Linked DNA regions of Rattus norvegicus. The main gene of each other region encodes a partner of the protein of the gene in region 2 in a complex. Links are inferred from orthologs where the notes say so. Each region holds a gene or a part of one and is shown on either strand. Other genes may lie near its edges.

Region 1 (3,688 bases), on a different chromosome or scaffold from region 2:
AATTAATAATGTAACATATATTAATATAAGTAGTATTAAAAATAAACACAAATTAAAAAAACTCACTGAAACAATTGATGACTTTTAAGAGTTTGTGTCCGTTACCATGAAACAATTTGTAGGCCTCACTATTTTCCACTGTTATTAATCTCTTCTTCCGTACTTTATATTGTTCATAAACTAATAACCAACAATGACTATTACTAAAAACAAAGATTTCCTGAAAAGTAAAAAAGACTTATCAACTAGTTTTTATATTACTGAAAGCCCATAATGAATGGTACATGAAAATGCTAATCACATTTACTTTATATAAAAACCTCTGCCAGGCCTTGGGAGTACATGTCTTTAATCCCGGATTTGGGGGGTAGAGGTGGTGGGCGGGGATAGGTGGATCTCTGAGTTTGAGGCCTGTCTTAGTCAGGGTTTCTGTTCCTGCACAAACATCATGACACAAAGCAGGTTGGGGAGGAAAGAGTTTATCCAGCTTACACAGTCACATTGCTGTTTCATCACCAAAGGAAGTCAGGACTGGAACTCGAGCAGGTCAGGAAGCAGGAGCTGATGCAGAGGCCATGGAGGGATGTTACTTACTGGCTTGCCTCCCGTGGCTTGCTCAGCTGGTTTTCTTATAGAACCCCAGGACCACCAGCCCAGGGATGGCACTACCCACAATGGGCTTGGTCCTCCCTCCTTGATCACTAGTTGAGAAGATGCCTTACAGCTGGGTCTCCCGAAGGCATTTCCACAACTGAGGCTCCTTTTCTGTGATAACTCCAGCCTGTGTCAAGTTGGCCTTCAAAACTAGCCAGTATAAGGCCACAGAGGTTTAGGAAGGCCAGTGATAACCTTAATAAATGAATTAAAAATGTATTTACTGGGTTTTAAAATTTGTTTTATTCAGGTTTATTTTATGCACAAGTGCTTTTGCCTGTATGCATGTATGTACCATTTGGGTCCCGCGCACTGGTAGGTCAGAGGTCGGCCTATCCGACCACCTGTGATTGTGAGCAATCATGTTGGTTCTAAGGCCCTCTGAAAAAGCAGCAATGCTCCTGCCTGCAGATCCAGCTCTCAGGCCCCTAGTTGGTCCTTTGAGACTGGGTCTCACTAAGTAGCTTTAGCTGGCCTGGAATCCTAAGTGTAGACCAGACTGGCCTGGAATTCACAAGGAGCTGCCTGTCTCTACCCCACAAGTTTTGGGAAAAATAAATCCTATTAAAATAATTAATCTGGGTATACCTCCTGTGGAGGCTCCACTCTTTCAGTTCTCAATAAGTCCACATGCACTCTGCTTAAAAAATAATCCAAAAGTTATTACTACTTTGATCAGATCTTAGTCTTTTTTTTTTTAAAGATTTATTTATTTCATGTATGTGAGTACACTGTCACTGTCTTCAGACACACCAGAAGGAATCAAATCCCATTACTAGGTGGTTGAGCCACCATGTGGTTGCTGGGACTTGAACTCAGGACCTCTGTAAGAGTGGTCAGTGCTCTTAACCACTGAGCCATCTCTCCAGCCCCAGATCTTAGTCTTTATCAACCCAAGTATTAGTTACTTCCTCTTCACATTTAAAAAGTATACTTAAAAGGATACATCTCTTAGTCCTTTTCTTGTACATTATTCTGTATCCACATTCTCTGCATCTGATTGGATCCCTGGATTTTATTTCATTTTCGGTGTGACACTCTGGGAAAGAAAGCACATTTATTCAAAGCCTGAAAGAGAAACACTCCAGGGAAGCAAACAGTAACAACATATTAAAAACAGGAGGAAACCAGGGCACCAAAACATCCAAGTACATTCTTATTACTGAACAGACCAAGGAGAAAGAAGAGCTGTAGGCAGTACACCTTTTCCAGATAAAAGGAAGAAATCTTAATAAGGTAGAGGGATTTTAAAATTAACAATCGCTAAAGTGCTCCACGTTATAATTTTAAAGATTTGTACTCATGTATGGAAGGATTCTTTTTAATGGGAGGGGGGGGCGTTCCTAAGTAAAGCATTATTTAAATGTTAATCTTACCTCCACAAATATATATCATTGGCTGCTGCTTTGGTGGTTGAACATCTTTCTGGGTGTCCATTGTTCGTGCCTGAAATGAGAGCCAAAGACTGAGTAACAGGGCCTTCGCACAAAACATGCCCCATTTGATTTATCTTTTTCTCAGAAGCTATACGAGGTTCTGATTTTCCGACCAAAGAGGAAAACCTCAGTAGAATGTTTGCCTAGTGTGCAGAAGCCCAAGAATCAATACCCAATATTACGGATGGGGAAATTAAAAAAAAAAAAAAAGTAATTATCTACTTCCCCTAAACAGTGATGTGGGCTGGGTCTGAAGGATACAGCACATTTTCAACAATAGTAAATACATTATGAATGTTTATTACTCTTCAGGATCCTAGAGGGTATTACACACGAAGAAACGGAGGCTAAGGACATGTTGGTTTGTCCAGTATCACTCCGCAAAGGAATTCCGATTTGAGCTGGGAGCAGTAGCTCCGTCAAAGCTTGTCTCAACATTAACTCCACCGGGGATCTTTATTTTCGCATTTGGTTCTTTAAGAAGGCTTTGAGAGTCTTCACTTTGTAATTCAGGTTAGCCGAGAACTCACTTTGTAGCCTTAGATTGAAAGTCAAGGTGCTTGTTGATGGCAGAATTCTCCTACCTCTGCTTCCCAAGCGCTCAGATGGCAGGCGTGTGCTACCGCTCTCGGTCGTCCAGGGATATTTTAAAGCCAGGTGTCTCTCCTAGTTTTGCCTCCAATTTACCTCCCAAATCACCCGCCGATCCCTTACCTCCGCAGCTCCGGAAAGCGTCCCTCCTCTGTGCACGCAAACGCTTTCTCCGGCTCTTAGAAGCAAGAGACACTACCGGCGCTGCTTCGCCAACTTCCGGCGCTGACTTATGACGCAAAAGCCCTGTCCCTTTCTGCCTGGCAGTACCGAAGAACTAGGGCGCTTGTTGGGGACTGGTTTATAGTGTTTCTCTCCTTAATTCCTGTAGGATTTTGTTTTGATTTGCCCCTCTCTCCAGGGTAGCAAAACATTCCCACAGCTCGGCGTTCGAGAGTCTGTGCTTGTGTAACGGCAGATAGAGCAGGAAGCCAAAACAGGTGCTGCTGGAATCTTAACCCAGCCATTGCTTGGGCGAACACCAGCAGGCCACCCTACCAACACTTCACTTCCCAATATCACGGTTTTCAAATTGTTCAATACCCATGCAGGTTTTTGTTTGTTTGTTGTTTTCAAATTCCAGTTTTCTTAGTTTCTTGTCACCTCTCTTCTATTTTATGTTGGGGAATGGAATGATAGGGGAAGCCCGAGGCTTGATAGTCTATGTAGCCCAGGCTGAGCTTGCTCTTAAACCGGCGCAGTTCTCTACCTTCGCCGCCTCAATGCTGAAATTAATTGCGCAAATCACAACGCCTGCCCATCTTCCTTTTTGAAGCCAAGGTTTTCACAACTAAGGTTTTCACAAGGACAACTCCATCAATTACTTCCACTAGTTGGTGGCTTTAGCTTTTCTCGTAGTATTCTCCCTCTTGTGTTTGATCAATTCAATAGAGTACAGGTGGTATGTGTTCTCACAGATCAAACTTTTAACTCAGTAAAAATCTGTTGGGTTCAGGACGTTTACACTCAATTATTTCACACCATTTATTTTAAAAATAGAGTGGACA
Region 2 (3,749 bases):
TACAAAATAAATGAAAATAAATATTAACAACAACAAAAAACAAAGCTTTCCTTGCTTCTCTTCTGGTTGACACTGGTTTTTCTTTTACAAATTTACATGTGGAGCACAATAGTAGAGCATTCACCTAGTGTGAACAATGTTCTGGAATCTATCCTCAACATCCTAAGAAAAGTATGCTGGATAGCAAACTCTCTAAAACTGCCTAAAGATTTATTTGATGTGTTTGGGTGTTTTGTATATATCTCTGTGTGTCCCTGCTGTGCTCACAGAGGTAAAAGAACCCCTGGGACTGGGGACTGCAGCCAGAGACAATTGTGAACCATCATGTAAATGCTGGGAATCCAACCAGGATCCTCTTTTGTTGTTTTGGAGACAAGCTCTTTTTTTTTTAATTGCCCTGGCTGTCCTAGAAGTCTAAACTAGCCTCAGATTCAGAGATCTGCCTTCCTGTCCCTCCTCTGCTGAGATTAAAGGTGGTGTGTACCACCATGCCCAGCTAAGGTGTGTACCACCATGCCCAGCCCCCAGCCTGGGTTTCCTTGGCCGTGGTAATATCCGTCTAACTCTCTCCTCTGTTTTTCACCACAGTCTCCATGTAGCCTAGGTCTGCCTCAGAACTGTGTAATACGTGTTTCGCACAGAGTAAGGTCTAAAATATGCGTCTAAAATAATGTACAGATCTTGTATTTTGTTCAGTCAAATCTCTCCACCGTGAAGACAATTTCTTTGATTTAAACAAATATGTACACGTGGGTTCTTGAATGTTCACAGAGGTCAATGCACAGTGTGTTTGCCAGAAAGGCAAGGTTGGCCGGTCAGCGAGTCCCAGAGATCCTTTTATCTCTACCTCTCCAGTGCTGGCATTACTATTACTATTATTATTATTATTATTATTATTATTATTATTATTATTATTATTATTATTATTATATCAGTACACTATAGCTGTCTTCAGACACACCAGAAGAGGGCATCAGATCTCATTACAGATGGTTGTGAGTCACCATGTAGTTGCCGGGGTTTGAACTCAGGACCTCTGGAAGAGCAGTCGGTGCCCTTAACCACTCACTGAGCCATTTATCCAGCCACCAAGTGCCAGCATTACTAACATCAAACTGTGCTTTTTACCTGGGTAACTCAGGCCCTAATATTTTACCCATTGGCTGCCTCCACTTCCAGTACCAGGGTTACATGCGCACACCACTATGGCAAGCTTCTTTCTGAAGGCGGTTCTGAGAAACCCGGCCACTGTTGGCCCCGCCTAGCTGTGCCCGCCTGTTCTTAGGGAAGCTTCAGACAGCTTAGGGCCAGGCGAAAGTCTACTTGCCTTCTAGCTGCGATCGTTCCGCTCGCTCACATGGGCCGCATTCGGCTCCCCCAGCGCGACTTCCGGGGCGGGCAGGCCGTGGCTTCCGGCGCAAGGCCCAGCGATCTCTCTGCCTAGGCCGAATGGCGGCCCCGCTGCTCCACACGCGCTTGTCGAGCGACGTGGCGGCTACGGGCTCTGCCACGCTGAGTGCGTCGCGGACTGGGTAAGATCTGGACGACCTCCGCCTGCGTGTGCGGGGCTCGAGCCGGCTGAGAGCGCTCGGGGTGTGACTAGGGCTCGGAGGGGTCCTGGCGTGCGGGCTTGGCCCAAGTGCGCAGGAGCCACTGGTCCTCTCTGCCCGGGCGAAGCTGCGTTAGCGAGTCTTGTCTGTTCCATTGTCTTCCACTCACTCTTGGGGGCACCCTTTTGGGACTATAGGCAAATCGTCCGCTCCTTTTTTCTTCCCTCTCTTGGCTAAGACGTGGACGGCATTTCCAGGGTTTTGTATATCCAGGGGAAAGCTGTCACTGGAGACCTATTGAATCGCCAAAATTTTGTTTGAAATTTGTTTCTGCAGAAGCGAGCAGTAGCATAGTGGAACCATATATTACCATATATTATCTAAGCAATCGGTTTTTTGGTTTTTTTGGTTTTTGGTTTTTTGTTTTTGCCTAACATTTAAAAATGCCTATTCCTATAAAACATTTGGAAGCTAATCTAAACAAAGTAAACCTTGTACAGAATAATAATAGTTGTTTATGAAGTATGTACATGCTGTGTTAAGAAGACACTGGGGACATTAGCTTATCCAGAGACTAATGTTCTCATACTCAACAGAACTGGAGGTGGGGAAGTGGGGGTGGGCAATAAACGGATAAGATAGTTTCAGGTATAGTTTCAGTAAATGCTGTGAAGAACTACAACTTTACAGCAGGATAAATAAAGGGTGAGTGTGAGAGGTTCTGGTGAAAAAGGCCTCTGACATTTGAGCTCCAGCCTTGTGTGTGTGTGTGTGTGTGTGTGTGTGTGTGTGTGTGTGTGTGTATGAAGGGTGTTTCTAACAGTGAGTAGCAAGTGGAATGGGAACCAGCTTGACAAGTTTGAGGAATAAAAAGGACATCATACTTTTAACAAACGATTGTATCATGACATCAGAGTTAGGAAAGGTGGATGGTTAAACAGGATCTTACAGGGTTAATATAGGAATACAGAGGTTTTTTTTTTTTAATTCTATTTTTTCCCTTCCCTTACTCTTAAAAAAAATAAAATAAAATTTGAGATCTCACTCTGTAGCCTAGGTCTGCCTCATCTTCCCAAATGTTGCTTTCTAAGTATTAGGAGTTTGAGTTTGAATTCTTATTGTAAGTGCTGCAAGAAGACAGTTTTAGTGAGTGAAGAGTGGATTCGTGGGGGAGAAGGTTGGAAGCAGGTATATATATCATTTAAGAAACTTAAACCTCATCACACAAAATGATGTTGGTTTAGTAATGCTTACTGTTGTCATTCTCTGTCATGAATTTAACAACTGGTATTCCTGGTTCTTCAGGCTTTCAAACATGCTTGCATTAGAGAGTGATTTCTTCAGTTCTCCCCCAAGAAAAACTGTTCGGTTTGGTGGAACTGTGACAGACGTCTTACTGAAGTACAAAAAGGTATGAGGAGATCTGGGCTTTACCTTGATAGGGTTTGGTTTAATGGGTGCTATACTGAAGAGCAAACTATCAAGACTTTGCATTCCTCCTGAGTACACCCCCAAAGCAAACAAACACAGCAGTAACAGAACAAGGTGAACTTTAGTGTTTATGTGTGCATTTATGATTTACGTTTCTCAGTGGTGGGCACTGGAACTAGAACCTTGTCCACACCAGGAAAACAGTTCTAGTTGAGCTCCGTCCTTAGGCTAAAGATAAATTTCACTCCGGGCTTGGTGGCTTGTGCCTTTAATCCTAGCATTTGAAGGCAGCAGGTGAATCCCTGAGTTTGAGACTAGCCTCTGTCTAAAACAGAGGTTCTCAACTTTCCTAATGCTTTGACCCTTTTAATACAGTTTCTCATGTTGCGGTGACCCCCAACCATAGAATTATTTTCTTTGCTACTTCATAACTGTAATTTTGCTATGGTTATGACTTATAATGTAAGTATCTGTGCTGTCTGATGGTCTTAGGCGACACCAGTGAAAGGGGTTCAGTCCCCAAAAGGGTAGACATCCACAGGTTGAGAACTGCTAGACTAAAAAGATGGAATGGAGGGAAATATTTAGTGAATATTTAGTGAAATAGAATATTTAGTGATGTGCATGATTCTGTAAGCTTAAAGGTAACCAAAACAAGTGTGGTGAGGTTTAAGACTTAAAATGCCGTATATATCTTGAAAACTAGCAAGTGCTAAAATTAAAGAAGTTAGAGTAACTGTTGTTCGTTTGTGTAGCCCTGTCTGATGT

What was found. The genes of interacting proteins can lie anywhere in the genome.
Region 1: Rrn3 (region 2) and Polr2k share a complex: the UniProt entries of both Homo sapiens proteins name them as parts of the pol I pre-initiation complex. The link is inferred for Rattus norvegicus from reciprocal best matches to the Homo sapiens genes RRN3 and POLR2K.

What each region holds. Positions count from the first base shown.
Region 1 is NC_086025.1:69,240,432-69,244,119, reverse strand, and holds the start of Polr2k (DNA-directed RNA polymerases I, II, and III subunit RPABC4), read right to left. Parts: upstream 2,888-3,688; 5' UTR 2,805-2,887; intron 2,101-2,804; 5' UTR 2,092-2,100; coding exon 2,031-2,091; intron 1,694-2,030; coding exon 1,601-1,693; intron 1-1,600. UniProt on the Homo sapiens protein: DNA-dependent RNA polymerase catalyzes the transcription of DNA into RNA using the four ribonucleoside triphosphates as substrates.
Region 2 is NC_086028.1:2,669,990-2,673,738, reverse strand, and holds the start of Rrn3 (RNA polymerase I-specific transcription initiation factor RRN3), read left to right. Parts: upstream 1-1,443; 5' UTR 1,444-1,449; coding exon 1,450-1,532; intron 1,533-2,855; coding exon 2,856-2,961; intron 2,962-3,749. UniProt on the Homo sapiens protein: Required for efficient transcription initiation by RNA polymerase I (Pol I). Required for the formation of the competent pre-initiation complex (PIC).